Anolis sagrei: one gene and its partners. The protein of the gene in region 1 interacts with the protein of each later gene in a pairwise test. Links are inferred from orthologs where the notes say so. Each region holds a gene or a part of one and is shown in the gene's direction. Other genes may lie near its edges.

Region 1 (7,650 bases):
CACCAAATTTCACTTCGGAAGCCTTCCAAGAGGGAAGCGTTTCCCTCCCACCCAATTTCGCTCCCAGGGAGAGCTGTACCCACCAGATTTTGCTCTTAGAAACCTCCTAGATGGGGAAGGCTTTTCCCGCCAAATTTCGCTCAGCAGGAGGACTTTTCTCTGCTGCCAAATTTCACTCTCAGAAATCTGCCAAGCAAGGAACGCTTTTCTTGCCAAATTTGGCTCGAGAGGAAGGCTTTCCCCACCAAAATTTGCTCTCAGAAGCCTACCAAGTAGGGAAGGCTTTTTTCCAGCGCCCTCAGAAGCTTGCCAAGCGGGGAAGGCTTTTCCCTCACACCAAATTTTGCCCTCAGAAGCTTGCCAAGAGGGGAGAACATTTCCTGCCAAATTTCACCCACGGGGAGGGCTTTTCCCGCCAAATTTTGCTCTCAGAAGCCTGCCAAATGGGAAACGGTTTTCCCTCTTGCCAAACATTGCCCTATGAAGCCTGCGAAGTGGGTTTTTTCCCACCAAATATCACCCTCAGAAACAGGGAAGGCTTTTCCCTGCCACCAAATTTCAGTCTCACAAACCTGCCAAGTGGGGAAGGCTTTCCCCACCAAATTTCTTCCTTGTTTACATGATAACTTTACTATTCAGGGATTTTTTTATTAGTATTATTATCCCGATCTTAAAGGCACTTCAGCATGGATCTGCACTGCAGAAAAAGATCACTGGGGTTTCCTAAACTTAGTCAAGGGCCTAAATAAACAATAGGCCCATTGAATCCATTAGATCAGGCATGGGCAAGCTTGGGCCCTCCAGGTGTTTTGGACTGCAGCTCCCACAATTCCTAACAGCCGGTAGGCTGTTAGGAATTGTGGGAGTTGCAGTCCAAAACACCTAGAGGGCCCAAGCTTGCCCATGCCTGATCTAAATAACACAAAAGTCACCCTCACCTCATGAAATGCCAGTTAAAGTTTTGGAATTGTCACAGCTGGCAGATCAAATAGGCTTTAGGGCAAATGAAGGTATTTCCAAAATGCCATGAATTATTTAGATTGAGAACGCACTTTATTTTGAAAGTGTTATAAGAGATATTTGAAGGGGTCACTTTTTTCTCTTTTTGTAGAAATAGAGGGTCTAAGTCAAGTCAGTGAAGTCTGATTTGAAGTTGTCCAGGTTAGGTCAGGAAAATCTATTTTAGAGTGACAAGGCCTCCATCTATATTGACCAAGTAATGCGGTTATTGAAGACAGATTTTCCGATGCAGATGATTACATAGTAAATCCTGGAACCAATTTAAGGCCGGCATGGTGATTACACAAACCACAAAGCACTGGTGGGCATTATGGGTGTTCTTTGTCTCTCTATTGTGGAAGTTTGTTATCTGGCCACCACAGTTTGAAGATAGCTTCCATCTGTATCAAATGACCACTGTAGATGGCCCAAGTTAGGTCAATTTTTTTAAGGACCAAGCGTTGTTCTTTGGCTTGCTGTGAGTTTTTTTGGGCTGTATGGTCATGTTCCAGAAGCATTCTCTCCTGATGTTTTGTCCACATCTATGGCAGGCATCCTCAGAGGTTGTGAGGTTTGTTGGAAGCTAGGCAAGTGGGGTTTATATATCTGTGGAATAAGGTCCAGGGTGAGAGAAAGAACTCTTGTCTGCTTGAGGCAAGTGTGAATATTGCCATTAGCCAGCTTTATTAGCATTGAATAGCCTTGCAGCTTCAAAGCCTGGCTGCTTACTGCCTGTGGAATTTTTAGTTGGGAGGTGTTAGCTGGCCCTGATTATTTCCTGTCTGGAATTCGCCTGTTTTCTGAGTGTTGTTCTTTATTTATTATCCCGATTTCAGGGGTTTTTTAAAATACTGGTAGCCAGTTTTTGTTCATTTTCATGATTTCTTCCTTTCTGTTGAAATTGTCCACATGCTTGTGAATTTCAGTGGCTTCTCTGTGTAGTCTGACATGGTGGTTGTTAGAGTGGTCCAGCATTTTTGTGTTCTCAAATAATATACTGTGTCCAGGTTGGTTCATCAGGTGCTCTGCTATGGCTGACTTCTCTGGTTGAATTACTTTTCAGTGCCTTTCATGTTCCTTGATTTGTGTTTGGGCAATGCTGCGTTTGGTGGTTCCTATGTAGATTTGTCCACAGCTGCATAGTATACGGTAGACTCCTGCAGAGGCGAGAGGCGCCCTCTTGTCCTTTGCTGAATGTAGCATTCATTGGATTTTCTTAGTGCGTTTGAAGATTGTTTATAGGTTGTGTTTCTTCATCGTCTTCATTATGTGGTCAGTGGTTCCCTTGGTGTATGGCAAGAACACTTTTCCTCTGGGTGGATCTTTGTCTTCACTCTCATAGAATTATAGAGTTGGAAGAGACATTGTGGACCATCCAGTCCAACCCCCTGCCAAGAAGCAGGAAATTCATATTCAAAGCATGCCCGACAGATGGTCATCCAGCCTCTGTTTAAAAGCCTCCAAAGAAGGAGCCCCTCCAGCCCCTTCTGGCTGATCATGGTAAACATGTTTCAAAGAAATGCATCTGTCACTACACAAAGTGTGCTTAATACAAGTAGTGTTACTTTTCACTTTTGAACACAACTATTTAACAAGTCCCACTAAGATCATTAACATTGTTGCCATCTGTGAACTCATTTATTTGCACAACATTTCTATGTAAAGTGTAAACACATGCAGAGGAATCGAGATGATTTATTGTCTTATGTCCTGAATTTCTGGGAAATCTGTTACAATATTCATTTTTACTGGGCTCAAGTGTTAGATTTTACTTATATCCTAATTTTCCCAGCCACACTTGGAATTAAGGTGATGGACAACAAAATTAATTGAAAAAGTATAAACACAATGACAAAAAAATGGATTAATGAGACACAATAAAATTATATTAATTACTAATAAATAAAAGTGATGTAATAATTTATTAGCTACTTGAATGAATAGTTTTACCTTCATCATTTTCTGCATAAGGAAGTCTGAAGGTTGATCAATTTGGGTCCATTGGCATCCAGATTTATCTGCTTTTACCTGGATTATATGGCAGTGTAGAAGGGGCCTTATTCTTATGGTCTAGTAGCTGCTACTGCAGAATCTTCCTGATTGATCAGATTGGAAGGTGTTGGGTAAAATACACACAAGTTGCAATTTCCCATGCATGAGTGACCTTATCTCAGAAAGCACAGGATGTTTGTGATGAGATCAGAATTGTGTGCTCCAGACATAACAGGACTATAAATTTATAAAGGCCAGAGCAGAGCTGAACCTTATGCAGTTGGTGATAGTGGGCTCAAACAGAAATAAATGTCTAAGATGATAGTAAAAATATATATTAAATCAATAGGTCCAAAGGCTATAGTTGTTTGTGATTTCACAATCATGTCTAAGATGGATATTATATAAAAATGCTGCTAAAATTCATATTAATGTATATTTATTATCTTTTTTATTTAATTGTGTATTTATTGGTGTTTTCATATTGTTGGAAGCCACCCTGAGTCCCTCTTCGGAGGTCGAGAATAGGACAGGATTCAAGTGTTCTAAATAAATAAATAAATATTAATAAAGGCATCAAAATTGGAATGATGTGTATTATTTTTCCCACAGAAGTGAACTTGGTTACATACCATTTGATCCATCATTGATTTGGTTTCATATTTTAATCCTGTTAACATTAATGAAAATACATTTGATTAATACCCAAATAGATTGATTGCAATGGATTATAAAACAAGATGTATGTTAGTCAATTGAAAAAGTGGGAAACATTATTTTGCAGTTCTAAAATGACATTTTTATGCTGGAGAAAATAGCATGGGTTGGGCCAAGTGTGATATAATGTGTAGAAAGTTGGAGACATGTTTATATCTCTATTTCACCTCATTGTTCTCAAGTTAATAAGTCATTCCTATTAAGGATTGTTGTGATGATAACATGGAATATGGCTTGACCATGTGGTATGCAGACAAGACTGACAAAAAAAAACAAGGCATGGAAGAAAGGAAACCTTGAAAAAATCATGTAACTATGCTGAAGAATACTCCTTTCACTGTAAATAAATAACCAAACTTCAGCAACTTTTCTCATGGGCTAACAGCAAAGAAAAACTGTTGAGACAGAAATAAAAGAATTTTTAAAAGGGGGGGGGGATATTTTGAGAATATTCATACAGCTGCATGAAGGAAGTTTTTAACTTTCCAGACACAATTCCAGACATATCCCAGATGTTTACATGACAGGCTGTAAAACCTAAATTTAATTTTATCAGGATAAGCAGATGTTTATGTATTCTGGAAAGATAAGTATATCATTATTTATGACACATTGACAAATTTATATCATTGTTTGTTTTTTCAATGTTACTTTAGGAGACATCTCTTAGTATGTTTCAGTTTTGCATTCATCCTCAATCAGTAAATTATAAATACTGATGTCCATAGAGAAAATATACATGAGGCCATTCACTGATAAAGACTCGAGGATTGTCTGTGAAACAGATGGTGGTCACATTGTCCATCAATAAATGACCCACAATGTAATTACTGGCCTTGTTGAGATGCTTTTTCCTTAAGCATCCAGGAGAGGGGGTGCTCTGTGTTGTGCTTGGAACAGTCGAAGGCATGTTCTGTTCAGACTTGTTTGCTTAGGATTCATCAGAAAATTGCTACAGCCACTTAAAGAGAAAGGAGTGAAAATGGTGAGTATATGATACTGACCTAGTTTGCGCAGTCAGTTTCCCACTTGTTAAACTAATTCAGCAGCCAGGAATGAATCGGGAATCTTGCACCTCTATTTCATAGTGTCCTAGTTTGATTTAACAACATTTAAGGATTTGCTGTTGCAAACAACAGCAAGTGTTAAATTGGGAACTGTGGATTAATGTTTTAAATCCAAACCAATTTCAAATTGTGGTTAGTAAAGTGTGGTTAATCAGTTTTCAATAAGCTGCACTTCTCCATTTTGGTCATAATGGTTCACTGTGGTTTGATGTTTATTTGGATACATACTGCAAGTCGCTTCTGGTATGAGAGAATCAGCCGTCTACAAAGATGTTGCCCAAGGGACACCTGGATGTGTAATCCTGCGAGGAGGCTTCTGTCATGTCCCCCAGTGGCTTTTTTAATTTTTCGTGTCAGGAGTAACTTGAGAAACTGCAAGTTGCTTCCAGTGTGAGAGAATTGGCTGTATGCAAGGATGTTGCAGACGCCCAGATGTTTTCTTTTACCACCCTTGTGCTAGGTTTCTCTCATGTCCCTGCATAAGGAGCTGTAGCTGATAAAGGGAGCTCAACCCACTTTCCCCAGATTCTAACTGCTGACCTATTGGTCAGCAGTCCTGTTGCCATCGAGAGTTCCCCAGTGGCTGATAGAAGAGGAGATACCCCCTGGGCACACAGAAGAATTGGCAATCTGGAAGGTGCTAAACAGGCCGCTCTCTGGCACCACGAGATGCAGAGCCAACCTTAAGAAATGGGGTTACAAAGTGGAGTCCATGAGATGTGAGCGTGGAGAAGAGCAAACCACAGGCCACCTACTACAACGACCACCCTGTCACTTGTACAATGGAGGACCTTCTCACAGCAACACTAGAGGCACTTCATCCCTCTTCTCCTTTAGAAGGAAATTAAAAATGTGGTTGTGGGGTCAGGCCTTTGGGTAAGCTTGCAGACCTGATGACAACAATGACGACAACAGCTATGGAAACGGTTTATGGACAAGTTTTCAATTACAGGACTTGACGGAACAATGGCCACCAGACCGACTTTCTTTTTAGTAGACTTTATCATATTAATCTAATGTTTTTAACTATTTATAATTATTGTTTTTATGTGTGTTCTGTTGTGTTGCTTGTCGGCATCAAATATGTGCTGGCTAGAAGCCGCCCTGAGCCCCCCCCCCCCCCCCCCGGGGTAGAGAAGGGTGGGGTTTATTTATTTGTTTATTCACAGCTTTTATATTCCACCCTTCTCACCCCGCAGGGGACTCAGGGTGGATTACAGTGTACACATATATGGCAAACATTCAATGCCAATTTTTGACATACAAACATATACAGACATACACAGAGGCTATTTAACTTTTTCTGGCCGCCCGGGGTGCTGTCGCTTTCATCGTCCATCTGCGACGCTGATGAAGCACTTCCGCATTCCCCGCATGCTTCCCCCGCTGGAATGCTTTGCTGGAGTCTTCTTTATGGCCTCATAAATCAGTTAATTTAGCCACCCCACACTTTAAGGTGTTTCCTAATTTTCCTACTTGACAGATGCAGCTGTCTTTCAGATTGCAAAGGTCGACAACAGGCTACACACAATTGGTTGGAAACCCCTCCAACCCGGGCTGGCTTCGAACTCATGACCTTTTGGTCAGAGTGATCTTAATGTAGCTAACACTCAGCCAGCTGCGCCACACCCTAAATAAATAAATAAATACACAATCAAAGCATTCCCAACAGATGGCCATTCATTCAGCCTCTGTAAAAAGCTCAAATTCACACTTCCACTAGTTCTTCTACTGGTTGTATTTATTTATTTATTTCGTGTACTTATACCGCGCCCTTCTCAACCCCCGAGGGGGGACTCAGGGCGACTTACAAAAAGGCACAATTCGATGCCTACACAGTAATACAGATAAAATATAGACAGCAATTAAAACAGTTATAACAGTTAAAACAATCAATATATATCACAGTCAATAAAAACCAATCTTATGCTCAGCGTTTGCAACTCAAGAGTCCATAATTTCATTCCACATTTTCCATTCCTATCGGTCGTCATTGTCCTTTATTTATCTGCCAGATTGCCCAAACGCCTGGTCCCAAATCCATGTCTTTAATTTCCTTCTAAAGGAAAGGAGGGATGACGATGATCTAATTTCCCCAGGGAGTGAATTCCACAGGTGAGGGGCCACCACCGAGAAGGCCCTGCTCCTCGTCCCCGCCAATCTCACTTGTGATAGAGGCGGGGTCGAGAGCAGGGCCTCCCCGGAAGATCTTAAACTCCGAGGTGGGACGTAGATGGAGATACGTTCGGACAGATACGCTGGGCCGGAACCGTATAGAGTTTTGTAGCTTCAGGAAAGATCCTCTTCACAATGAGTCAATCTGGTTCTTGGTAAGGTAGGTAATTAGTTGTGTAAATATGAATGGATAAAATCCCAGCTTCAAAACATTTTTCATGAATTGTGTGGCCTTTGAAATAACAGCAGGATCCATCTCTATTTTGTATTTCCAAACAAACAAAAAGGATCAGCACTGAGCTCTTCTATTGTCTTATGTCATACTAAGCTGTGATGTTGTGTCCATTGTGACATCAGTCATTGCCACAGTTTCTCTCACACACTTCCCCTGGTTGTAGCTTCAGGAAAGGTCCTCTTCACAATGAGTCAGTCTGGTTCTTGGTAAGGGCCAAAATAGGTAAGCATTAGCTTTGCTGTGTGAATATGTATCTTTAGGAAATGCAAATGAAGTTGGATTATATAGTGTTAGGAATTTTGGGAGTCGAAGTCCAAGGGTCTGGAGAACAAGCCCTATGAGGAGCGGCTTAAGGAGCTGGGCATGTTTAGCCTGAAGAAGAGAAGGCTGAGAGGAGATATGATAGCCATGTATAAATATGTGAGAGGAAGCCACAGGGAGGAGGGAGCAAGCTTGTTTTCTGCA
Region 2 (7,666 bases), on another chromosome or scaffold:
CTCACTTGGCACATAGAACTCCCATGATCAACAAAACATACATGAGGGCTATGGGGGAAATTCGTCTTGATTTATAGGAATTATAGTTCAAACAATGATGGATCTGCACCAAATCTGCCACACATACCCAATATGCTAAAATTTGAATTCTGGTGGGTTTTGGGAGGAATTGGCCTTGACATTTGTTAGTTGTAGGTACTGGGATTTATAGTTCACCTGTAATCAAAGAACACTCTGCACCTCAACGACTATGGTCTTGGACCTAACTTGGCACACAGAATCCCCATCACCAACTGAACATACTGGAGGGATTTGATGGGACTGACCCACCATGGTGAGAGTCGTAATTCATCCTCCAGCCAGAAAGCACACTGAACCCCACCGATGATGTGAAAACTTGCCCAATATGACAAACTTTAAGTATTAATGGAGTTTCAGGAGGTTAACCTGGCATGTTGTGAATTGTAAACTTACCCAACATGATGAACTTTTAGTATTGCTGGAGTTTCAGGAGATTGACCTGGCATGATGTGAGTTATAGTACACCCACGATTGTAAAATGTCTGAATGTATCTCCTTCTATGAACCATCTTGGAGGTTAAGATCTTCTGGGGAGGCACTGCTTTAGGTTCTACCTGCTTTGCAAAGGTGGTTGGTGGGGACAAGACTCAAGGCCTTCTCAGTGGTGGCTCCTTGGCTCTGGAACTCTCTCCCCAATGAGATTAGATCAGTGCTCTCCCTCCTGTTCTTCAGAAAGAAATCAAAGAGATGGTTATGGGACCAAGCCTTTGATTAGTAAAGTAATGCAGTACAAGAAATAAATATGATATATGTGCAATCGAGATTTGGAATTGCCCTGGTCTATGAGTTTGGATCATGTGATTTTAATGTTTATATTAGGTGGTTTTAATTTCTATGTTTTCATGTCTGAATGTTGTTTTGTCTTATGTTTAATTATCTTATTGATTTTAATGCATAGTTATATGTTTTGTTTAGATTTATGATTTGGTTTTATATGTATGTGAGGCATTTAATTTTGCCATTATTTCTTGTAAACCTCATTGAGTTCCCCCTGGGATGAGAAAAGCAGTATATAAATACAGTAAATAAAATAAAATAAAATAAAACCACTTCTTCTAATCATCTGGGAAATGCTGGGTACCCAAGCTAGTATACAATAAAAAAAGCCCTGTGAAGGATTTAGAAAGTATATATCTGAGCATAGAAAGAATCTTGATTGCATGGTTGCACAGGCTACCAATCAATAACAAAAATAAAAGAAGATAAAAGCAGCGATTTGAGAGCATTTTGCTCTGAAGTCAGTGGAAGTTTTTAGTAAAAATGGTACAGGGAAGGAAAATGATATTCAAATTGTAAGAGGCTGTTAATTAAAGCCAAAAAGGGATGATTTGTTTAATGAGGATAAAAGTGGAAGTAATGAGGCTTGTTTGCAGGAAGGTCTGTCAAACAGCATTTTCCAGTGTCTATGTTTGGTTGTGAAAGCAGGACAATGGGGAAAGCGTATAGGAAGAGAATCAATTCATTTGAAATGCAGCACTGGCAAAGAGTTCTATGGATACTGGCTCACTAAAAAGAGAAATAAATGGATCCTGGAGCAATCAAGCCTGAACTCTCTCCAGAAGCCAAGCCGGTTAAACTGACACTGTCATACTTTGACAATATCATGAGAAGACATGACTCACTAGAAAAGATAAGAAGGCTTGGTAAAGTAGTAGGCAGTAGGACAATAAGAAGACGGCATTACAAAAAGATAGATTCAATTAAAGAACCTGGGGCAATAAACCTGAAACAGCAGGGCTGTTGAAGCTACAGTGACTTGGAGGTCATAGGTCAAAGTCACCTTGAGGGCAGTAAACAACAACAAATGCTAAACAGCAGGAAAACATTCCAGCTACAGAAACACTCTGGCACTAGATCAGGCTGCTTTGGGAGTCCATGGGACCCCTTTCCTCTATAGCTGTCTTGAAACCCTAGGAAAAGGGGAGGCACTGGAATGGTAAACTAAATGCCAGCATTTTACATGTCCATTTTGAAATTCAGGACTTGTAATCTTAAGGTGAAAAGTCATTTACCATTACGAAATGGTAAGCGTGAACAAAGTGTAGCACTCCAAATATGATTTGACTGAATCATCCGGGAATCCTCAACATTGGCTAGGCTGCTAGGGTTGATGGGAGCTACAATCCAACAGCACTTGTGAAATGGCACTTTCTCAGTAAGGATGTAATTGCTTGTTGGCACACTTGACTTTCCTTCGTCTCACACACACGTGTGTGCATACAATCACTGCAAGAGGTTAGCTTTAAGCAATTGCAAAATTAATATTTCGTCTTCATTCTCTAATATTGTCTGTGCAAGATCTAGCACTATATTTATGAGTTTCTATTTCTCAGAGTCTGTATGGTAAGCCATAAGTCTTTTGTGTGTGGATTTGTATAGGAAGAATTCATTAGCTGATCAAGGGCAGACCTTCCAAGTAAAATGAACAGATTCTGTTTGGTTATTGATTTCTTATTTCCATCGATACAGTAATGCAATGTTTTCTTCAGCTGGATAATTCAGTATAGTTGAGTCACATACTAACCTGGTCAGTCATGTCCGGGAGTGTTGTATGAAGATCTCTATAACCATAAAGGCAATTATTATCCTATTCAGGTGTAAGTTTTGGAGCAGGCAGTCCACTTAATGATTAAATTAGGCTTCTAAAAATCCTCCTCCTCACTCCAAGGGCTTTCACAATGAAAGTAAAAAGTTACAGAGAAGAACAACAATTTATGAGGTGTCTCTCTCTGATCACACTAGGGCCATTGAGGGAGGGCTATATCGATAGTAGAATATTTTCTATATATACATGTAGAAGATTGCAGGTTCAATCCTTGGCCTCCCCAGCTAGTAGGATCACATAGCAAATATTGCAATAAGCCCTCTGATTGGGACCTTGGAAAGCTGTAGCCAGTTCATGGTTTGATGGACCAGTAATCTTCCTCAGTATTGCCCTCCATATGCTCTTGACTCACAGTACACATCAGATCAGGACAATTGTGTGAGATTATGGGAGCTGCAGTTCCACTCAACATCTGCAGAACCACACCTGTCCATTTCTATGGTATAAGGGAGAGTGTAATAAATTTAAAATCCCTAAATCAAATCTGTTCTACCTACTTGGTCATATTAATTACTTGACTATTGTCACTTCAGAAGATGTTTCTCAAGAGTCACTGGGACTAGAACTATGCATCAATTGAACTGTGTGCTTCTGGGTTGTAGTACAAGGCTTCAGGTTCCACCTGAACATGAGGAAGAACTTCCTAATTCTGAGAGCTGTTCAACAATGGAACTCTCTGTCCCAAAGTATGGTGGAGGCGCCTTCTTTGGGAGAAATCTCGAAGGCAAGGTAGTCAAGATCACAGGCATGACTTAATGGATTGTGGACCTCAAATCAGAGAATTGTTTCCTTTAGAATTCAGATCAGGCAATGCTGCAAAAACAGTGAGGATCTCGAGCCTCATTTCTAGTTCATATTTAGGGTCTAAGATCTTGGGAGTTTGGATTCACGTTTTAAGAAGTTTCTATTGTGTTGTTTTTAGATTCATATTCATGTTTTAATTCATGTTTCCTGGATTTATGCTTATATTTTGATTCTGGTTTTCCTGTAGCTTGTTTTATGGAACAGATTTGGGCTGTTTGGATTATTACCTTTGGAGTGCTTTTTCTTATTGCCAGTTTGGTTTGGCTTATTACTTGTTGACTATTTTCTCCATTTCCTATTGGATTTTGCCTTTCTTATTTCTTAAGGTGACTTTCCCTTTTTATATGTATTTCTCCTCAATAAACTGTCTTACTGTCACTTTTGAATTTTTGGCTGATGATGAGGTCAAGGTGATTTCTGGGTGGGTTGCAACAATTTTTATTATTATCATCATGATTTCTATCCCAGCTTTCTCCTCATAGGAACTCAAGGTGGATCATAATAACATGACACAATAATAATATAGGGATGGATATAAACAAAAGAAATATTCATTTAGAACACTATCTGACTATCCCACTTCCATTACCCTTAAGAAGAATATATACTAGGGCTAGGTTTGAATAACTTGGTATTATGATTACTGTAACATCCCAAGAAGTAAGAGATTCTGTGTATGGGGAGAACAAACAGTGGAAGATATCGAACATTTCTTAATTGGCTGTCCAGCATATGCTGAACTGCGATACAGATATTTACATCCAATATTATCCAGCTGAAGGTCCCCCAATAAAAATGATCTTCTAACATTCATTTTGCAAGGACAAGAAAGATCCACCATAATCAGAGTAAGCCTTTTTATTCTGAAAGCTATCAAGAAAAGAGCACATTTCTTGAAAGAAGAACCAGGACAATAAGACTCTTGACTGTAAATAGAAGATCAGCTATTGCCCTCACCTTTTTGCCTTGTATTTTATTCATGTTGTATTTTGAAATGGTCATATGACTAGTCAAATAAATAAATAATAATTATTATTAATACAATTAAAATTACATTTAAAACTCACCAACCTTCCAAAATCCCACCCACAACCTTCCCAGCAATATTACCTCCCAAACATCTGGCAGCAAAGATAGGTTTTAAGCTGCTTGTAACAGGCAAGCAGAGATGGGGCCATCCTGATCTCCCTGGGGATGGCCATCAATGGGGAGTGCTTTGTAGTGCTCCTGCATGGCAGAGGGTTGGCCTGAATGCCCCTGGGGTTTCTTCCAACTCCATGATTCTCTGATCCCTCCAGGGAGGGCAGAGCTTGGGTTGGTGCTGCTGGTGCTGAAGGGACAGCTCCCTGCGGAGCACAAGCAAGCGCCTCCTTCCTCCGCTTCAGCACTAAGGAGGCGGACAGCTCCCCGCTTTAAAGGAAGGCGGATCCGCAGGCGCTACAGAAGGGCTCGGGATGAATGGCGAGTGTTGGGGGCTCTTTCAAAGATTTCTCCAAGGTTCACACTGCTGGAGGGAGAAAGAGAAAGAAAGGAAGAGACTGTCCTGAGGCTGGCCAACGCTGAAAGACACCGCAGCCCTTCCTCTGCTCCAGGCGCCCAGGTAAAGACGGTGTCGGGGACGCAGCAGCGAGAAACCCAGCAAAGGGAATGTATTGTCGAAGGCTTTCATGACTGGGTTGTTGTGAGTTTTCCGGGCTGTATGACCATGTTCCAGAAGCATTCTCTCCTGACCTTTCGCCTGCATCTATGGCAGAGATCCTCAGAGATTTTGAGGTCTGTTAGAAAGTAGGAAAATGAGGTTTATATCTGTGAAATATCCAGGGTGGGAGAAAGGACTCTCGTCTGTTGGAGATAGGTGTGAATGTTTCCATTGGCCACCTTGATTAGCATTTAATGACCTAGCGGTTTCAAGGTCTGGCTGCTTACTGCTCGGGGGAATCCTTTGTTGGGAACTGATTAGCTTGCCCAGATAGATTGTTTCTTGTCTGGAATTCCCCTGTTTTTGAGTGTTGTTCTTTATTTACTGTTACGATTTTAGAGTTTTTTTTAGAAATACCGATTAGCATTTAGCCTAGCAGTTTCAGGGTCTGGCTTCTTACTGCCTGAGGAAATCCTTTATTGATAGGTGATTAGCTGTTCCTGATGTGAGTTTTCTGGGCTATATGGCCAAGTTCCAGAAGCAATCTCTCCTAATGTTTTGCCTACACCTATGGCAGACATCCTCAGATGTTTTGACGTCTAGAATCATAGAATCATAGAGTTGGAAGAGAACTCATGAGCCATCCAGTCCAACCCCCTGCCAAAAAACAGGAAAATTGCATTCAAAGCACCCCCAACAGATGGCCATCCAGCCTCTGTTTAAAAGCTTCCAAAGAAGAAGCCTCCACCACCACACTCTGGGGCAGAGAGTTCCACTGCTGAACGGCTCTCACAGTTAGGAAGTTCTTCCTAATGTTCAGATGGAATCTCCTTTCTTGTAGTTTGAAGCCATTGTTCTGCGTCCTAGTCTCGAGGATAGCAGAAAACAAGCTTGCCCCCTCCTCCCTATGACTTCCTCTCACGTATTTATACATGGCTATCATATCTCCTCTCAGCCCTCTCTTCTTTAGGCTAAACATGCTCAGCTCTTTAAGCCGCTACTCATAGGGCTTGTTCTCCAGAACCTTGATAATTATAGTCGCCCTCCTCTGGAAACATTCCAGCTCGTCAATATCTCTTTTGAATTGTGGTGCCCAGAATTGGACACAATATTCCAGGTGTGGTCTTACCAAGGCATGACTTCCCTTCCTTTCTCAGAGAAATGCTTTTGGAACATGGCCATACCATCCGGAAAACTCGGAACAACCTCAGCAAGGAGACTTCAAGGTTATGGGCTGGTCCCACCAGTTGGGCGGATTGGGAGTTGGAATCTAGCGGGAGAAGGATCTCAGGTCCCGAAGCCTGGCAGCAGGAAGAAAGTGGAAAAAAGGAACTGGGGAAAAAGTTCCCCCGAGGGTTGTGATCCCGGGAGCAAGGTGTGCCAGGAGCGGGCCTCCTCCCCTTAAGGGCTGCGGCTCCTAAGTTTGGCCTTCTCGTCCGGAGAGAGCAAAGGAAGGCATGCCCTCAAAGCCCAGCCTGCCGCCGTAGCCCAGACTGCTTCCTTTGGTTGCCTGGTTTCACGGATTGGTTTTTTGGGAGAGACATTCCAGAGCAGAGAGGGAAAGGAGAGCGCGGGGGGAGAGGTTAGACTTGGAGGCGAACCTCCCTGTTTGGGTGCCTGCGCCCCGGCGGTGGGTGTGAGTGGGAGGCAATGTTTCGCGTTGAGTGACTGCGAGGCGATAGCACACACACACACACACACACACACGGAGAGACACAGAGACACGCACTCACACGTCCACGGAGGCGGAGGTCCTCCCAGCTGCACCGCTGGAAGCTGGACAAGCCCTTCACCCGCTGCTCTCCGCCTTCCCTTGCTTCTCAGGACAAGCGCCGACGAGGTAAATCAAGCCGGTTGCAGATGGAGGGCTTTCCGGGCGAAATTAGAGCATTGGAGGGTGTTTTATTTCTCTCTCTCCGTATTGCAGCGGATTAGAACAGCCACCCTGCGCTTCCTCCCCCCCTCCCTCCCTCCCGCCCTGGTGATACATAATCAATAACAACAACAGACACCAGCAACTCTGGGAAACGCAGAGCCTCCTCGGAAGTAAGCCTTGAGACGCGCAAGAGGGACTTGCTCCCAGGAAAGTCAGTCTCTTAGGCTGGGAGCAAGGGAAAGACGGGGAGAAGGGAGGCGATGCAACTGGCAGGGAGGCAGAGGACCCTAAAGACAAGCTTCGGAGATGGCTGAGAACCTGCCGACTTCTCTGGGGTTCCGATTTGAGGGTCTTGGGGGGCGAAAAGGAATGAGGTCTCCTTATCCCGAAGAGTTTGGTTTCCCGGTGTGAGGACCACTAAGCTGGGAAACGAAAGGTATATGTCTGGGTTGTTGTAGGTTTTTCGGGCCATGTTCCAGAAGCATTCTCTCCTGACGTTTCGCCTGCATCTATGACAGGCATTCTCAGAGGTTGTGAGGTCTGTTGGAACCTAGGAAAATGAGGTTTATATTGTCAGCATTGATGTATCGGTGTGTGTGTTTTCCGGGCTGTATGGCCATGTTTCAGAAGCATTCTCTCCTGACGTTTCGCCTGCATCTAT
Region 3 (7,313 bases), on another chromosome or scaffold:
ACTAAAGACACTTCTGTGCCAGTATCCCATAAACTCATAAGTTTTTCCTCATTTACTTGAACTTCCTCCAAGTAATCTCTACTCACACCCTTATCCATACTCCAAACTCTCATAATTTTAATCGGTTCTTCTTGAGGAGCAGGATTTTCTGTCAGTGGCTGGACCTTTTTAATCACTTTGATGTACTTAGGTGGGGCCACAGGTCTAGCATTTGTCACCTTTGGGCATGAGGCTTTAACGTGCCCTTCCTGATGACAGTGGTAACATAGGATTTTACGTGGTGCAGTTCCTGAGCTGGTGTTCCCCTTTCTAGGATTCTGACCATCCCTGTCAGCTCTTCCTTTTGGGACCCACTCCTTTGGCTTTCTAAACAATGGGGAACCTACATCAAGGTCTTCCTCCATTTCGTCTAGAACAGATGCCACTTCTGCTACCGTTTGAATCCTCTTGTCCTTTATAAACCACCTCATCTGGGCTGGAACTAGTTTGTAAAACTGTTCTAAGCAAACCAAATGCCTCAGTTGGTCAAATGTGGAGACTTTACTGCCTTCAAGCCACCTTTGTAAAGCTTTTTCTATTCTAGAGCCCACCTGTGAATAGGTTTTTCACCATTCTTTCTTTTAATTTCTCTGAAAGTCTTTCTAATTTGCTCCACACTTTCACCCTTTCCTTAAATATAGCATAGTTTGTACACTCAGTGTCCCTTAACTGTGCACATCTTTCACTAAGCTCAGTGTATATCAAAGGCCTTATATGTGCCATCTTTCTTTCCTCAAGCACCTTAAAATCAGCGCAAGTCCTTTCAAAACTTGCGAGGAAACTTTCCACACAGTCCCCTCTTGAGTACTTTGGGAAATGCTTTATTTGAGAGGCTAATGGCTCAGATTGGGTTTCACTTGGACTGGATGTGGGTTGTCTTTCTTGTAATTTCAACTCCATCATCCCTTCTTCATGCTTCATTCTCTCCCTTTCTTTCTCAATCTCCAGTTGTCTTTCTTTCTCTCTAGCCTCCTGTTTCATTCTCTCAGCCTCAAGTTGTTTTTCTCTCTCTCTCTCATTGGCTTCTATCATTCTCTCTTTCTCTCTAATCTTATGTTTCATTTTCTCAGCCTCAAATTCCATCCTCCTAAGTTCAATTTCCATTCTCATCTTTTCCAATTCTAGGGAGGTAGTCACCATTTCTGGACTCTCTACCCTTTCTTCAGTCACAGTCTCTAACATCTCAGCCTCCTGCCTCTCCTCTCCTACTGGAGTTGCTGAGGTCTTTTTATTTGTAGGTGGAGCCATCACTACAGGGTTTCAAAATGGGGTTTCTGGGCAGTTTCTGAGGTACCTCCAGATCACTTTGGGACAAACGTTTACCTCAGGTTTTTGATCTAACATACTGGATCAAGCCTTAAAGTTACTATCCCACCGCTGAACACTCAAAAATTTTAAATCACGCCACTGGTCGTCAGTTTAAAGGATCATAGTTACCAATTCCACAACTAGACACAACTATGATGGAATATGATTCTGGCACAGAGCATTTATATATATGTGAAGTAACATGTATGTACTTTGGTAGATTTGCTGCCACCACCCAAAATACTTTGGGAAATTAAAGAATGATTCCCTGAGGTAATCCTCTTCCTTGCCCACCAGCTCTCCCTTAAGCTCCTTGAGATGACTGTGAAGTAAAGATGGTAAAACAGCTAGTATTATTCCCACTGGAATGAATCACTATTGAGGCTTCTTTAAAGTTGAACTAGAGAATATGCTTATTGATAATACAGAACAAACAACTATCTTCTTTAATGAGGCACACAAGCTTGAATGGTTTCTAAAGTACAGTAATCTTGATGGTTACTATAAACAGTTTCTTGTCTTAGATATGAGTAAAACTCCTCACTCTACAACACAGCAGCAGTGCGTTCCCCAGACAAACCTAACCAGGTTGTCCCCAGAGCAATTAGCTACACTCTAAGCAGAGTCCTCTAAAAGCTAATCTACTCTAACCCAGAGAGCAAACCACTTGTGTAAAAACCAACACAAGCACCCAGGCAACTACTTTGACCCTCTTGGTCAATAATGCAGCCTTGCCTGTCACAAAATGCTCTCTCACAGAAAAATCTAAGCTCACCAAAAATCTACCTTTCTTCTCCTCTGTTCCCAAAACCAATCTCTCTTCTCTCTCTCAAGCTGACACTTTCCCCTCTCTGTGCTTAACTCCTCCCATCTGTCCTAATCAATCCAGAGGGAGCTCCAGCTCCTCCCCTTCTTCTCATTTTACACTCCCAAGATGTCTGCCTCCTCTGCCTAAACTCCCAAAATGGAGGCCTGCCTACTGACATCTCAGGCTCCTACTTTGGCCTACGAAGTAAGAATCATTACATGAAGCTTGCTGGAGAATACAACTGTGTGTGTAAACTGTAAAATAACATGCATGAAGCTGATTGGTTGGGCAATGCATAGGGTGATGGCTGAGCCTGGAACTTTTGGATACTGTTGCACATTTGTTCAGGCTCGAGCTATGCAGCTGCAGAGAGACAGACAGATTTGCTCTTTGGCTGCTGAAAGAAGGTCTCTCATATGGACAAAGAAATACCATTTTAAATTTCTCTAAAAGGACAGTATGTGAGTTGGTGCAACGGATCATATTGTACATATGTTGTTCTGAACTAAGAAGAGTTCAGGTAACACAACAGAGATGGGAGGGGGAAAGTTGGTAAGGATAATTGATGATGGAATTTAAAGGTTTCCTCAGCAGCAATGAACAACCCAAAGTTCGGTCTGTAGAAATAAAGCTATGTTATAATCTCCTTGTTTCTGGTCTCAATTGGGAAACAAGGGCAGGAATATATTTAAAGGAAGATCTGCTTTAATATTTCAGATATTTTTGTTGGATGCCTTTAAGTCACTTCCAGTTTATGGCAGCCCTGTCTCAGGGATTTCTTGCCAAGTTTTTTTTTGGAGGGTTTGCCATTGCCTTCCTAAGAAACTGTGCAGGTTCTAAGCTCTGCCAGGGAGGCCGTCCTCTCGGTCCTGCCCCCATCTCAAATATGGCTGATGGGGATGAGGAAGAGGGCCTTCTCAGTGGTTGCCCCCTGGCTTTGGAACACCTTCCCCAAGGAAATCAGGCAAGCCACCACAATTCAGTCTTTTTGGAGGGACCTGAAGACATAGCTCTTCAAGGTGGCCTTTGATGATGGTTAAGGTATCATCTATATTGGCTGAGCTAAATGAAGTTCTACCCTAACACATTACCCCTGATATTTTTAACCTGTCTTGTGGCTGGGACGTTAAACTCGGTTTGTATAATGTTTTCTCGAAGGTTTTCATGGCTGGAATCAATGGGTTGCTGTGAGTTTTCCAGGATGTATGGCCATGTTCCAGAAGCATTCTCTCCTGACATTTCGCCCACATCTATGGCAGGCATCCTTAGAAGTCGAGGGGTCAGTTGGAAACTGGTAAGTGGGGTTTATATAACTGTGGAGTGTTCAGCGTGGGGGAAAGAACTCTTGTTTGCTTGAGGTATGTGTGACAAGAATCAATCAGGGCCAGCTAACAGCTCCCGACAAAGGATTCCCCCAGGCAGCAACCAGCCAGGCCTTGAAACTGCAGGCCATTAAATGCTAATCAAGGTGGCAAATTGCAACATTCACAGGTACCTCTAGCAGACAAGAGTTCTTTCATTTATTTATTTATATTTATTTACAGTATTTATATTCCGCCCTTCTCACCCCGCAGGGGACTCAGGGTGGATTACAATGTACATATACATGCCATAGACACACAACACATATATACAGAGGCTATTTAACATTCCAGCTTTTGATGAGGGTATTCTGGCCACCAGGGGAGCTGTTGCTTCACCGTCCATTTGTGACACTGATGAAGTACTTCCTTATTCTTTGCATTCTTGCTGGAGATTTTTATGGTATCATAAATTAGTTAAATTAGCCTCCCCGCGTACGCAGTACCTAAATTTCCTACTTGACAGATGCAACTGTCTTTCGAGCTGCAAAGGTTGACAGCAAGCTACACAAATTGGTCGGATGCTCACTCCGACCTGGGCTGGCTTCCAACTCATGACCTTTTGGTCAGTAGTGATCTTAATGCAGCTGACTCCCAGCCAGCTGCGCCACAGTCCCGGTGCAATTCTGGCTGTTAGGAATTGTGGGAGTTGAAGTCCAAAACACCTGGAGGGTCGAGGTTTGCTTATGCCTGTTTCCTGGCGTAATGAGGCCCTCCAGGGCGAAGGGGGCGCTGTTCCGCTGCGCTCGTGGGTGTTTCTGGGCGGTGTGCCGGGCCCCTCTTCCGGTGCAGGGGCCGGAAGTGCCTGTCGGGAAGCGGCAGGGGCCTGTTTCGGGAGGCCGGCGCTATGGAGGGTCGCGGCAGCGGCTCTTCGGAGCACCTGGAGCGGCTGCACGAAATCTTCCGCGGCCTCCACGAGGAGTTGCGAGCTGGGCCGGAGAGGCTGCGCGGGAGCCAGGCGGTCGGTACGTGAAGAAGGAAGGGCCCTCGGGCCGGAGCCTTGGAGGCGGGGAAGAAGGAGGGGACAGATGAGGCCTGGGCACACTTCGGGGGTTTTGAACTCCCAACTCCCACAATTCCTAACAGCCGGAATTTTACTGAAGTAGCCTGAAAAGGGCCGTCACCCACGAGGTCATACCAGACGTGGGCAAACTTCGGCCCTCCAGGTGTTTTGGACTTCAGCTCCCACAAGTCCTTAACAGGCTGTGAGGAGTTGTGGGAGTTGAGGTCCAAAACACCTGGAGGCCCGAAGTTTGCCCATGCCTGCGCTATAATAATGCAGTGAGGATGGTCACACTACACTTCTAAAGGGTTAGTATCCCACTTTAAACCCACTGGCTGCCTCCTCTGAAATCCTGGGATTGGCACTTTAGGGAGGGGCCTTTACAGGCCTGTAGCCAGGATTTCGATTCGGGTGGGGGGGCTGAGTTTGTTTTGGGGGGGGGGCTGAGTCAGTGAAAGAGGGTCTACGCTAGCAAACCTTTTGTATCGTTACTCCAATACCCCCATGCATATGGGATATATTGAGCACGGTGATCAGATCATGATATGAATAAACATAACAGTTTAAATAATGCACCAGTAAGGCCTTTTCGCGAACCACCATGAGAATTTCAGGGGAGGGGGCTAAAGCCCCCCAAGCCCCCCCCCCCCCCCTGGCTACTTACCTGCGCCTTTACAACCCTCTGCCAGAGAGATCCTTATCCTTATTACATTGCAAACCCCAGAACTATGCAAGAGGCAGCCATAGGATTTAAAGAGATGCCCACGCTTTAAAGTAGGGATGGGCAGACGTTGACCAGCTGTTTTGGACTCCAACACTCACAAGTCCTAACAGGCAGTTAGGACTATGGGAGTTGAAGTCCAAAACACCTGTAGGTCCCAAGTTTGCCCATGCCTGCTTTAAAAATGTAGTGTGATAATCTCCAATTGTATACGATTGTAGCACAAGTATTCTATTCTAATTACTATGGCAACATCTCGTGGAATTCTGGGTTTTGTAGTGTGAGGCCCCAGAGCTCTCTGGCTGCATTCTAAACAGCACTTCCTAAACAGCAGATGGAAACAGGTCAGTTAAACTGGAATAATAGTACTATTTTTTTTTGTCATGTCAGGAGCAACTGCTCCTGTTGTGAGAGAATTGGCCGTCTGCAAGGACGTTGCCCAGGGGACGCCTAGATGATTATTGATGTTTTATCATCCTTGTGGGAGGCTTCTCTCATGTCCTCGCATGAGGAGCTGGAGCTAGTAGAGGGAGCTCATCTGTCTCTCCCTGGATTCGAACCTGCAACCTGTCAGTCTTCAGTCCTGCCAGCACAGTGCTTTAACCCACTGCGCCACCAGGGTCTCCATAATAGTACTATAATACTGTAGAACAGTGGTTCCCAACCTTTGGTTCTCCAGGTGTTTTGGATTTCCAATTCCCAGAAATCCTAGCCATTTTACAAGCTGTTAGGAATTGCAGGAGCTGAAGTCCCCAAAACACCTGGAGTACCAAAGGTTGGGAACCACTGCTTTAGAACTACTGTATTTCATTGAAATCGAATGCCCACCTGGTTTGGCTAAATTACCTTCCCAAAATTCGGGTGTGCATTAGATTCATGTAATATGATTTTTTGTGCTGAATCAAAGCTAAAGGCGAAGCTATTTCAGGAGCACCTGGAGCTCCTATTTGAGGGACATCATCTCTAATTTAATTCCCATGGCTCAATGCTATGCAATGTTGGGATTTATAGTTTGGTGAGGAATTAGCATTCTTTGACATTCCAGTCACTCTATAGCATTGAGCTAGGGCAGTTAAAGTGCTTCATTCTACAGCATAGAGGCACCCCAAGGTTCCATTGCTTAAAGCTTTGGTGTTCTAACACTTTTGTTTTTAAAGAAGGAATTATAAGTGCACAGCAGACCTTCTTTGGCCAAATTACAAAGAGTGCACTTTTGTCACTTCGCATTACATTCGCCAGCAAATACTTTTTTTTTTTTTTTTTGGTTTCAGGGTTTTGAAAATTGAGGTCCGCATTAGATTCGATGGCGCATTAGACTTGAGTACATATGAGTATAACAGTGTGGTGTAAGAAGGCCCTACGCTGTTACAGCACTGTTAGTTGCAATCCTGTGGGCCTTTGCAGTTTATTGAGGTACCAGACCTCTCTGACTAGGAATCCTAAAGTCCCCTCCTTCACTGGTAATCCCAGGATTCCATAGGATGTTGCCATGGCAGGTACAGTGGAACAATGCCACTCAAGTGGGAGCGTGATAAGGCCCTTCACTGGTACAGCATTGTTATAAGACAGAGCTTCCCAACCATGTCATGCTGGGCACACACCTTTTAGATATGTATCATTTCACAAGGCGGTAAGTCAGTTTTACTAGCAAACTAGAGGTTAAACCAGCCCCTTCAAAGAAATGTGGACAGATTTATTAATTGGAATGATGAAATGTAGAAAGACACAAAATATTTCAGGAAAACCTTTCATTTATATATTTAAAAATATATGATTTGTAAGATAACACACAGTTCTAAGATTTGTGTCATTTCGTTTTACATTCACACAACACACCTACACACTGCAACCAACACTTTGATGTGAGGCAACACAAAGTTTGAAAAGCTCTGTTATAAGGACTTAAAGAACATTTGACAGTCAAAAGTGATTGTCATAAAGCAGTGGTTCTCAACCTTTCTAATGCCGTGACCCCTAAATACAGTTCCTCGTGTTATGGTGACCCCCAACCATAAAATTATTTTTGTTGCTACGTTATAACTGTAATTTTGCTACTGTTATGAATTGTAATGT
Region 4 (7,614 bases), on another chromosome or scaffold:
GAAGTGACTGGAAAATTATTTTAGTAATGAGACGCTTAGGACTTGTGTTTTTATGGTTTCTAATGTTTTTATATGGCTTATATTAAATGTTTATGTTTTTAATTATATGTTATATTGTTGGGGGCATTGATTGCTGACTAAACCATCTTGAGTCACCTTTGGGCTGACAAAGGCGGGCTATAAATATGGTAAATAAATAAATAATACATCTCCATTTCTAAGCTGAAGAGCCGACGTTGTCCGTAGGTATCTTCAAGGTCATGTGGCTGGCATGACTGCATGGAGTGCCATTACCATCCTGGAAAAGCGGTACCTATTGATCTACTCACATTTGCATGTTTTCAAACTGATAGGCTTGCAGAAGCTGGACCTAACAGCAGGAGCTCACCCCACTCCCTGGATTTCAACCACCGACCTTTCCGTCAGCAAGTTCAGCAGCTCAGAGGTTTAACCCGCTACGCCACCAGGGGCTCCATACACACACACATACAAATACATACACACATGCGTATTAAATATACTTTAAATGCTGGGACTTGCTGTCTAATGACGCCATTTAGATTGGCCAAAACATAAATAAACTCTAATGTAAAAAGCAGGATATGGACACTTTGAAAATGTGCGTTTTATTTGAAATTCTAAATATTTAATTATTTAGAGACAGAATTGTTTTGTAACAATTGCAAATGGTTCATATCTACCTAAAGGCCCTTCCAGACAGACCCTATATGCTAGGTTTTCTTCTTTAAACTGGATTATATGAGTCCGCACTGCCAGATAATCTGGGATAAACAGAAAACCTGGAATCAGATCCTGGGATATAGGGCCTGTCTGGAAGGACCCTAAGAGTATCAAAGAGGCAAATAAATTGACTTCCATTTGATGTCAGTTTATTATATACACAAAATTTGAAACCACGTCATTTGAACTTGTCTGGAACAAAATTTGAATAATAGGCATAGAAATAAATGTTTGCACCTGCTCAGGTTAAACTGACATTTAGATCTTGAAATTAAGTTGGATTTAAATTGTTGTTTTATTTTGAATGTTGTTCTCCTTTCCCCCCCTAACTGCATTCAATTTGTTTATTCCTAAAACTTGAAACTTGAAGAAAAAAAGAGTACACCTGTATTAAGCAAGATATTAATTCTAGGCTATATGGTGAGTGCATTCTTAATTTTCAGACATGATGAATCACATACCTCACTAATCCTCAAGGCTTGCCCTTTTGCTTCTTCAATTGATCATAATGACACTCTTTTGCAACATAAACCAAATGCGCCTGCTTCATTCTGTAAACTTATGTGATGATATCTGATCCATAATTGGTTGCAAAACAATGCCAAAAGAGTCATCATCAAAGTGTTCAAATTTGGTCATACTGAATTTCCGTGCCAAGTTTGGTCCGGATCCATCATTGTGTGAATCCACAGATCTCTCTGGATGTAGGTGAACTACAACTCCCAAACTCAAGGTTAATGCCCACCAAACCCTTCCAGTATTTTCTGTTGGTCAAGAGAATTCTGTGTGCCAAGTTTGGTTCAATACCATCGTTGGTGGAGCTCAAAATGTTCTTTCATTGTAGGTGAACTATAAATCCCAGCAACTACAGCTCCCAAATGACAAAATCAATCCCCCGCAACCCCACCAAATTTGGGTGTATCGGGTACTTGTACCAAATTAGGTCCAGTGAATGAAAATACATCCTGCATATCGAATATTTGCATTATGAGTCATAACTGTAGCAAAATTACAGTTATGAAGTAGCAACGAAAATAATGTTATGGTTGGGGAGGGGGGTCACCACAACATGAGGAACTGTACTAAGGGGTCGCGGCATTAGGAAGGCTGAGAAACACTGGTTTAGAGGGCATGCTTATCAAGTTTGCAGATGACACCAAATTAGGAGGAATATAGACTCATAGAGTTGGAAAAGATCTCGTGGGACATCCAGTTCAACCCCCTGCCAAGAAGCAGGAAAATCGCGTTCAAAGCACCCCCGACAGATAGCCATCCAGCCTCTGCTTAAAAGCCTCCAAAGACAAAGCCTTCACCACACTCCGGGGCAGAGAGTTCCACTGCTGAACAGCTCTCACAGTCAGGAAGTTCTTCCTAATGTTCATAGAATCATAGAATCAAAGAGTTGGAAGAGACCTCATGGGCCATCCAGTCCAACCCCCTGCCAAGAAGCAGGAATACAGTTATGAAGTAGGAATCTCCTTTCTTCTTTCAGATGGAATCTCCTTTCTTGTAGTTTGAAGCCATTTTTCTGCATTCTATATGACAGTGTAGAAGTGTTATGGCTGATAGGATAGATAATACCAAGAGCGACCCTTTGTGTGAGGCAGAAAAGTACAGGTTTTTTTTCCAGCTGAGACCCTGGTGTGGAATCTTCTCCAAAAGCAGCCAGAGCGAGGATAAAGGCGTTGACTTTCCCTTTTATACATCTTCAAATGCTCGCAAACAAAGGAACATGCTTCCACATATGTTAATTTCACCACTGTGTCACTTTTGCATCATAGAAATATCAAATTATATCTTCCTGCATGCAAGCGGCAAGTCTCTATATTTTTTCTAAAGCAGTTTACAGCAATAGAGATAACTAGGATTGAGCTTATTCATCAAGAGGCCTACTTTTGATCTGTCAGGAGGGAGGGAGATTCCTTACTTTTTACCTCTATCTGTTCATACCAGGTCATTCTTATCTCCCCCCAGCTGGAATGTTTACTCCTCTCTTGCCTGTGCCTTGGACACAGATCCTTCAGCATCCCTTTCGTCCTGTCAGCTTGGCTTCCTAATACAGAGAGAACCTGGGTTTTCTACATTTCAGTGCTTGTAATGTACATACAATCTATATAAATAAAAATGTAATGTTCATTTGTGGGATTAACATAACTCAAAAACCACTGGATGAATTGACACCAAATTTGGCCACAAGACACCTGTCAGACCAACGAGTGAGCATCACTCATAAAAACATTGAAAAACACAGCAGAAGTTACTTAAAAAGGCAAAAAGAAACAAAAAATACATTACAACGCGTGCACAAAACCACACACACATATATATACACAAACACACATATACACAAATATGTACATTTGTGGGATTAACATAACTCAAAAACCACTGGATGAATTGACACCAAATTTGGACACAAGACACCTGTCAAGCCAACGAGTGACCATCAGAAGAAACTTAAAAAGAAAAAGAAAAAACAAAACACATCACAATGTATGCACAAAACCACATCTATATAAATAAAAATATAATGTTCGTTTGTGGGATTAACATAACTCAAAAACTACTGGATGAATTGACACCAAATTTGGACACAATACACCTATCAGGCCAACAAGTGACCATCGCTCATAGAAATACTGGAAAACACAGTTGAAGGGACTTAAAAAGCCAAAATTTAAAAATGCATTTCAACACATGCACAAAACCACATATACACAAATATCTATACGCACATATATATATACACACACACCACATATATACAGACTGGGCCACAGCAACACATGGCAGGGGATGGCTAGTACACACAATATCTATACACACAAACACACATATACACAAATATGTTCATTTGTGGAATTAACGTAACTCAAAAACCACTGGATGAATTGACACCAAATTTGGACACAAGACACCTGTCAGGCCAACAAGTGACCATCACTCATAAAAACACAACAGAAGAGACTTAAAAAGCCCAAACACAAAAAAATACATTACAACGCATGCACAAAACCATAATACACACAAACACATATATACACACATATATACACACACAAAACACATATACACAGACTGGGCCACACAACGTGTGGCAGGGGATGGCTAGAATATGTATAAATATCTATATATCCAATATCTCCAACTCAGAAGGGTTCTGGGTATATAGGCTAGTAAAATAATATAATATGATAATATAATAAACTTTATTTCTACCCCGCCACCATCTCCCCGATGGGGACTCGGAGGGGCTTTGATGGGGCCAAGCTGGGACAACATAATACAGCAATAAAATCAAAACATATACAGCAAACAACAACAACATTATCAAAATAACATTAAAAGAGAAAAAAAATCATAAGATAAAACATTCCAATAAACACAATCACAGTAAGGATGTCAATGGGCGGGCCACATATTCAGGATAAAAACAGTTAACAAACTACAGGGTTAGTCAAAATGCATAGGCCAATAAGCCATTCAATTGAATGGCTTATTGGCCTATGCATTTTGACTAACCCTGTATAATGAGATAAAATAGGAGCAGAGCATTTATATGGAACTCATAAAACACACAGAGTTGTAAGGCTAAACAACAAACTCCCTGGAGAATGCCTTGATATGACGTCAGAGAGATGTGCACTAAATGGCTCCTGACGTCAGAGTGGACTGAGTGGGGATTCCTAAAGGAGGGGCCCGCTGCCTTCACCCCGCGTGACGTCACTCCCACTGGAGGCAGGCAGGCGGGGAAAGCCCCCTCTGGAGGCTTCAACCAGGAAGGAATGCCCTCTCGCGGGGGTGGATCTGTGTGACGTCAGGGGAGAGAGGGTGGGGATCCCGGGGAAGCCCCTCCCCCGGCGGGGCGGGGCCTGCAGGCGGCGGGAGAAACGCCTCACCCCTCCCCACTCCCCTACCATGGCCGCGCTTTCCCTCCTGCTGATGGTCCCGGCCTTGGGCGGCTTCCTCTTCGCCTTCGGGACCGGCGTGGAGCTGATCCGCTTCGTTTCCCTTCGGGGGCTTCTCCTGCCTGAAGCCACTTCTCCAGCTAGAACCGGTGCGAGTCCGTGGGAGTGGGAAAAAGGGAGGGGGAGGGAGGGGGCATTAGGAATTGTGGGAGTTGAAGTCCAAAACACCTGGAGGGCCCAAGTTGGCCCATACCTCCTTAGAAGTGGATTCAGAGCCACTTGCAGCCTAGAATCATAGAATCCTAGAGTTGGAAGAGACCTCATGGGCCATCCAGTCCAACCCCCTGGCAAGAAGCAGGAATATTGCATTCAAAGCACCCCCGACAGATGGCCATCCAGCCTCTGTTTAAAAGCGTCCAACGACAAAGCCTCCACCACACTCCGGGGCAGAGAGTTCCACTGCTGAACAGCTCTCACAGCCAGGAAGTTCTTCCTAATGTTCAGATGGAATCTCCTTTCCTGTAGTTTGAAGCCATTCAAATCACCCCTGACAGATGGCCATCCAGCCTCTGATTAAAAGCCTCCAAAGAAGGAGCCTCCACCACACTCCAGGGCAGAGAGTTCCACTGCTGAACGACTCTCACAGTTAGGAAGTTCTTCCTCATGTTCAGATGGAATCTCCTTTCTTGTAGTTTGAAGCTATTGTTCCGCGTCCTAGTCTCCAGGGAAGCAGAAAACAAGCTTGCTCCCCCCTCCCTATGACTTCCCTTCACATATTTATACACAGCCCTCATGTCTCCTCTCAGCGTTCTCTTCTGCAGGCTAAACATGCCCAGCTCTTTAAGCCACTCCTCATAGGGTTTGTTTTCCAGACTCTTGATCATTTTAGTCGCCCTCTTTCTGTGGAGACATTCCAGCTTGTCAATATCTCTCTTCAGTTGTGGTGCCCAGAATTGGACACAATTTATTATTATTATTATTATTATTATTATTATTATTATTATTCCAGGTGTGGTCTGACCAAGGCAGAATAGAGGGGGGGGGGGGCATGACTTCCCTGGATTAAGACACTAGACTCCTATTGATGCAGGTTATATTATTTTACAACCATAACCTCCCCATCACAATTGCATGCAAAGGATGGATCACATCCAAATTGTAATTTTCCTGTTGTGCAACACTGTGTACATGTTGCCCACAATGTTTCGTATTGGTTTCGCTTCTCTGTTGATTCTCATTCAAACAGAAATAATTATTAAGACTCATAAGCATCAACACTGTCAAATTAAATGCAGTTTGGTGCCACTTTAACTGCCCTGGCTAGGAGCCCCAGTGGCGCAGTGGGTTAAACCCCTGTGCTGGCAGGACTGAAGACCAACAGGTCGCAGGTTCGAATCCGGGGAGAGGCGGATGAGCTCCCTCTATCAGCTCCAGCTCCTCATGCGGGGACATGAGAGAAGCCTCCCACAAGGATGATAAAAACATCAAATCATCCGGGCATCTCCTGGGTAACATCCTTGCAGACAGACAATTCTCTCATACCAGAAGCGACTTGCAGTTTCTCAAGTCGCTCCTGTCACAATTAAAAAAAAACCTGCCCTGGCTGAACGCTCAATAGGATTTCTAGTTTGGTGAGAGACGGACCAGCTCTCTTTAGCTTTGAAGGCTCAAGGCCTTGTCAAACTACAGCTCCCATTGTTCCATAGGATGGAAGCATGGCAGTTAAAATATCGCTACCCTAAACCAAAGGGATCTTGTCCTTTCCTTAGGCGATCCCTCATAGCTCGAGGATGATGGTCTTCCAGATGTGGTGTCTTGGCGGTGGGTCTGTAGGTGTCTGTGAAGCCCTATTCTTAACCTGCATGTTCTCCTGCAATGAGGATATCGGTTTCCAGATGGAAGGAGGTCCCGGTCTGGGTTGGCTTGACACACCTTCCTCTTGGCACGTTTCTCCCTTTCGCCCTCCATTCATGCCTCTTCAGATTCTGCAGCACTGCTGGTCACAGCTGACCTCCACCTAGAGCGCACAAGGTCCAGAACTTCCCAGTTCTCAATGTGTATGCCACAGTTTTTGAGGATGGCTTTAAGCCCATCTTTAAATCTCTTTTCCTGTCCACCAACATTACGATTCCTGTTCTTGAGTTGGGAGTATAGTAACTGCTTTGGGAGATGGTAATCAGGCATTCAAACAACGTGGCTGGTCCAGTGGATTTGATGGCGGAGAAGCATTGCTTCAATGTTGGTGGTCTTTGCTTCTTCCAGCATGCTGATATTTGTCCGCTTGTCTTCCCAAGAGATTTGTAGGATTTTACGAAGGCAGCGCTGATGGAATCATGCCAGGAGTTGGGTGTGACATCTGTAGACAGTCCACGTCTCGCAGACGTATAGCGGGGTTGGGAGGACTATAGCTCCCTACGGATGTCCCGGTTCTCAAACACTCCCTGCTTCCTTCGGAAGAATGCTGCACTTGCATAGGTAGCATAGTACCTTTGAGACTAAATGAAAGAAGCAGCTTTATAGCCACCAGATCTCTTTGCATGCTGATCATGATCTAGGAACATCTTAATAGCTTTGGACCCTGTGCAACTGAAATACTGGCATAAGTTGTGAGTGTTGTTGAAAGTTTCTCTGCTACAGCTGACAAAGGGAGCTCTCCCTGGATTCGAACCTCCGACCAGTCAATCTTCAGTGCTGCTGGGACAAGGGTTTAACCCATTGTGCCATCGGGACCTCCCCCATGCCTGCTATCAAGCAACTTCTTTGGATGCAGTGCAAAATGTTAATAAATGAGTAAATTAACTGTATTAGGATGTGTCTGCATTATAGAATTAATGTAGTTTGATACCATTTTAACTGCCATGGCTCAATGCTATGGAGTCATGGGAGTTGTAGTTTGGTAAGTTACCACCACTCTTTGACAGAGAGGGCTAAAGACCTGTAAAACTTCCATAATTCCATAGCATTG

Evidence for each region.
Region 2: the proteins of TRIM59 (region 1) and ZDHHC22 interact in binary tests that used the Homo sapiens proteins (3 or more experiments, as listed by UniProt). The link is inferred for Anolis sagrei from reciprocal best matches to the Homo sapiens genes TRIM59 and ZDHHC22.
Region 3: the proteins of TRIM59 (region 1) and VTI1B interact in binary tests that used the Homo sapiens proteins (3 or more experiments, as listed by UniProt). The two-hybrid records come from large-scale screens. The link is inferred for Anolis sagrei from reciprocal best matches to the Homo sapiens genes TRIM59 and VTI1B.
Region 4: the proteins of TRIM59 (region 1) and NRM interact in binary tests that used the Homo sapiens proteins (3 or more experiments, as listed by UniProt). The two-hybrid records come from large-scale screens. The link is inferred for Anolis sagrei from reciprocal best matches to the Homo sapiens genes TRIM59 and NRM.

What each region holds. Positions count from the first base shown.
Region 1 is NC_090023.1:246,768,186-246,775,835, reverse strand, and holds the start of TRIM59 (tripartite motif-containing protein 59), read left to right. Parts: upstream 1-4,637; 5' UTR 4,638-4,690; coding exon 4,691-4,693; intron 4,694-7,650. UniProt on the Homo sapiens protein: E3 ubiquitin ligase involved in different processes such as development and immune response. Serves as a negative regulator for innate immune signaling pathways by suppressing RLR-induced activation of IRF3/7 and NF-kappa-B via interaction with adapter ECSIT.
Region 2 is NC_090021.1:306,659,854-306,667,519, reverse strand, and holds the start of ZDHHC22 (palmitoyltransferase ZDHHC22), read left to right. Parts: upstream 1-4,655; 5' UTR 4,656-5,090; intron 5,091-6,525; exon of another isoform or gene 6,526-6,969; intron 6,970-7,128; exon of another isoform or gene 7,129-7,175; intron 7,176-7,666. UniProt on the Homo sapiens protein: Palmitoyltransferase that could catalyze the addition of palmitate onto various protein substrates and be involved in a variety of cellular processes. Catalyzes the palmitoylation of KCNMA1, regulating localization of KCNMA1 to the plasma membrane.
Region 3 is NC_090021.1:281,960,351-281,967,663, forward strand, and holds the start of VTI1B (vesicle transport through interaction with t-SNAREs homolog 1B), read left to right. Parts: upstream 1-4,307; 5' UTR 4,308-4,363; coding exon 4,364-4,481; intron 4,482-7,313. UniProt on the Homo sapiens protein: V-SNARE that mediates vesicle transport pathways through interactions with t-SNAREs on the target membrane. These interactions are proposed to mediate aspects of the specificity of vesicle trafficking and to promote fusion of the lipid bilayers.
Region 4 is NC_090022.1:24,012,241-24,019,854, reverse strand, and holds the start of NRM (nurim), read left to right. Parts: upstream 1-4,603; 5' UTR 4,604-4,659; coding exon 4,660-4,798; intron 4,799-7,614.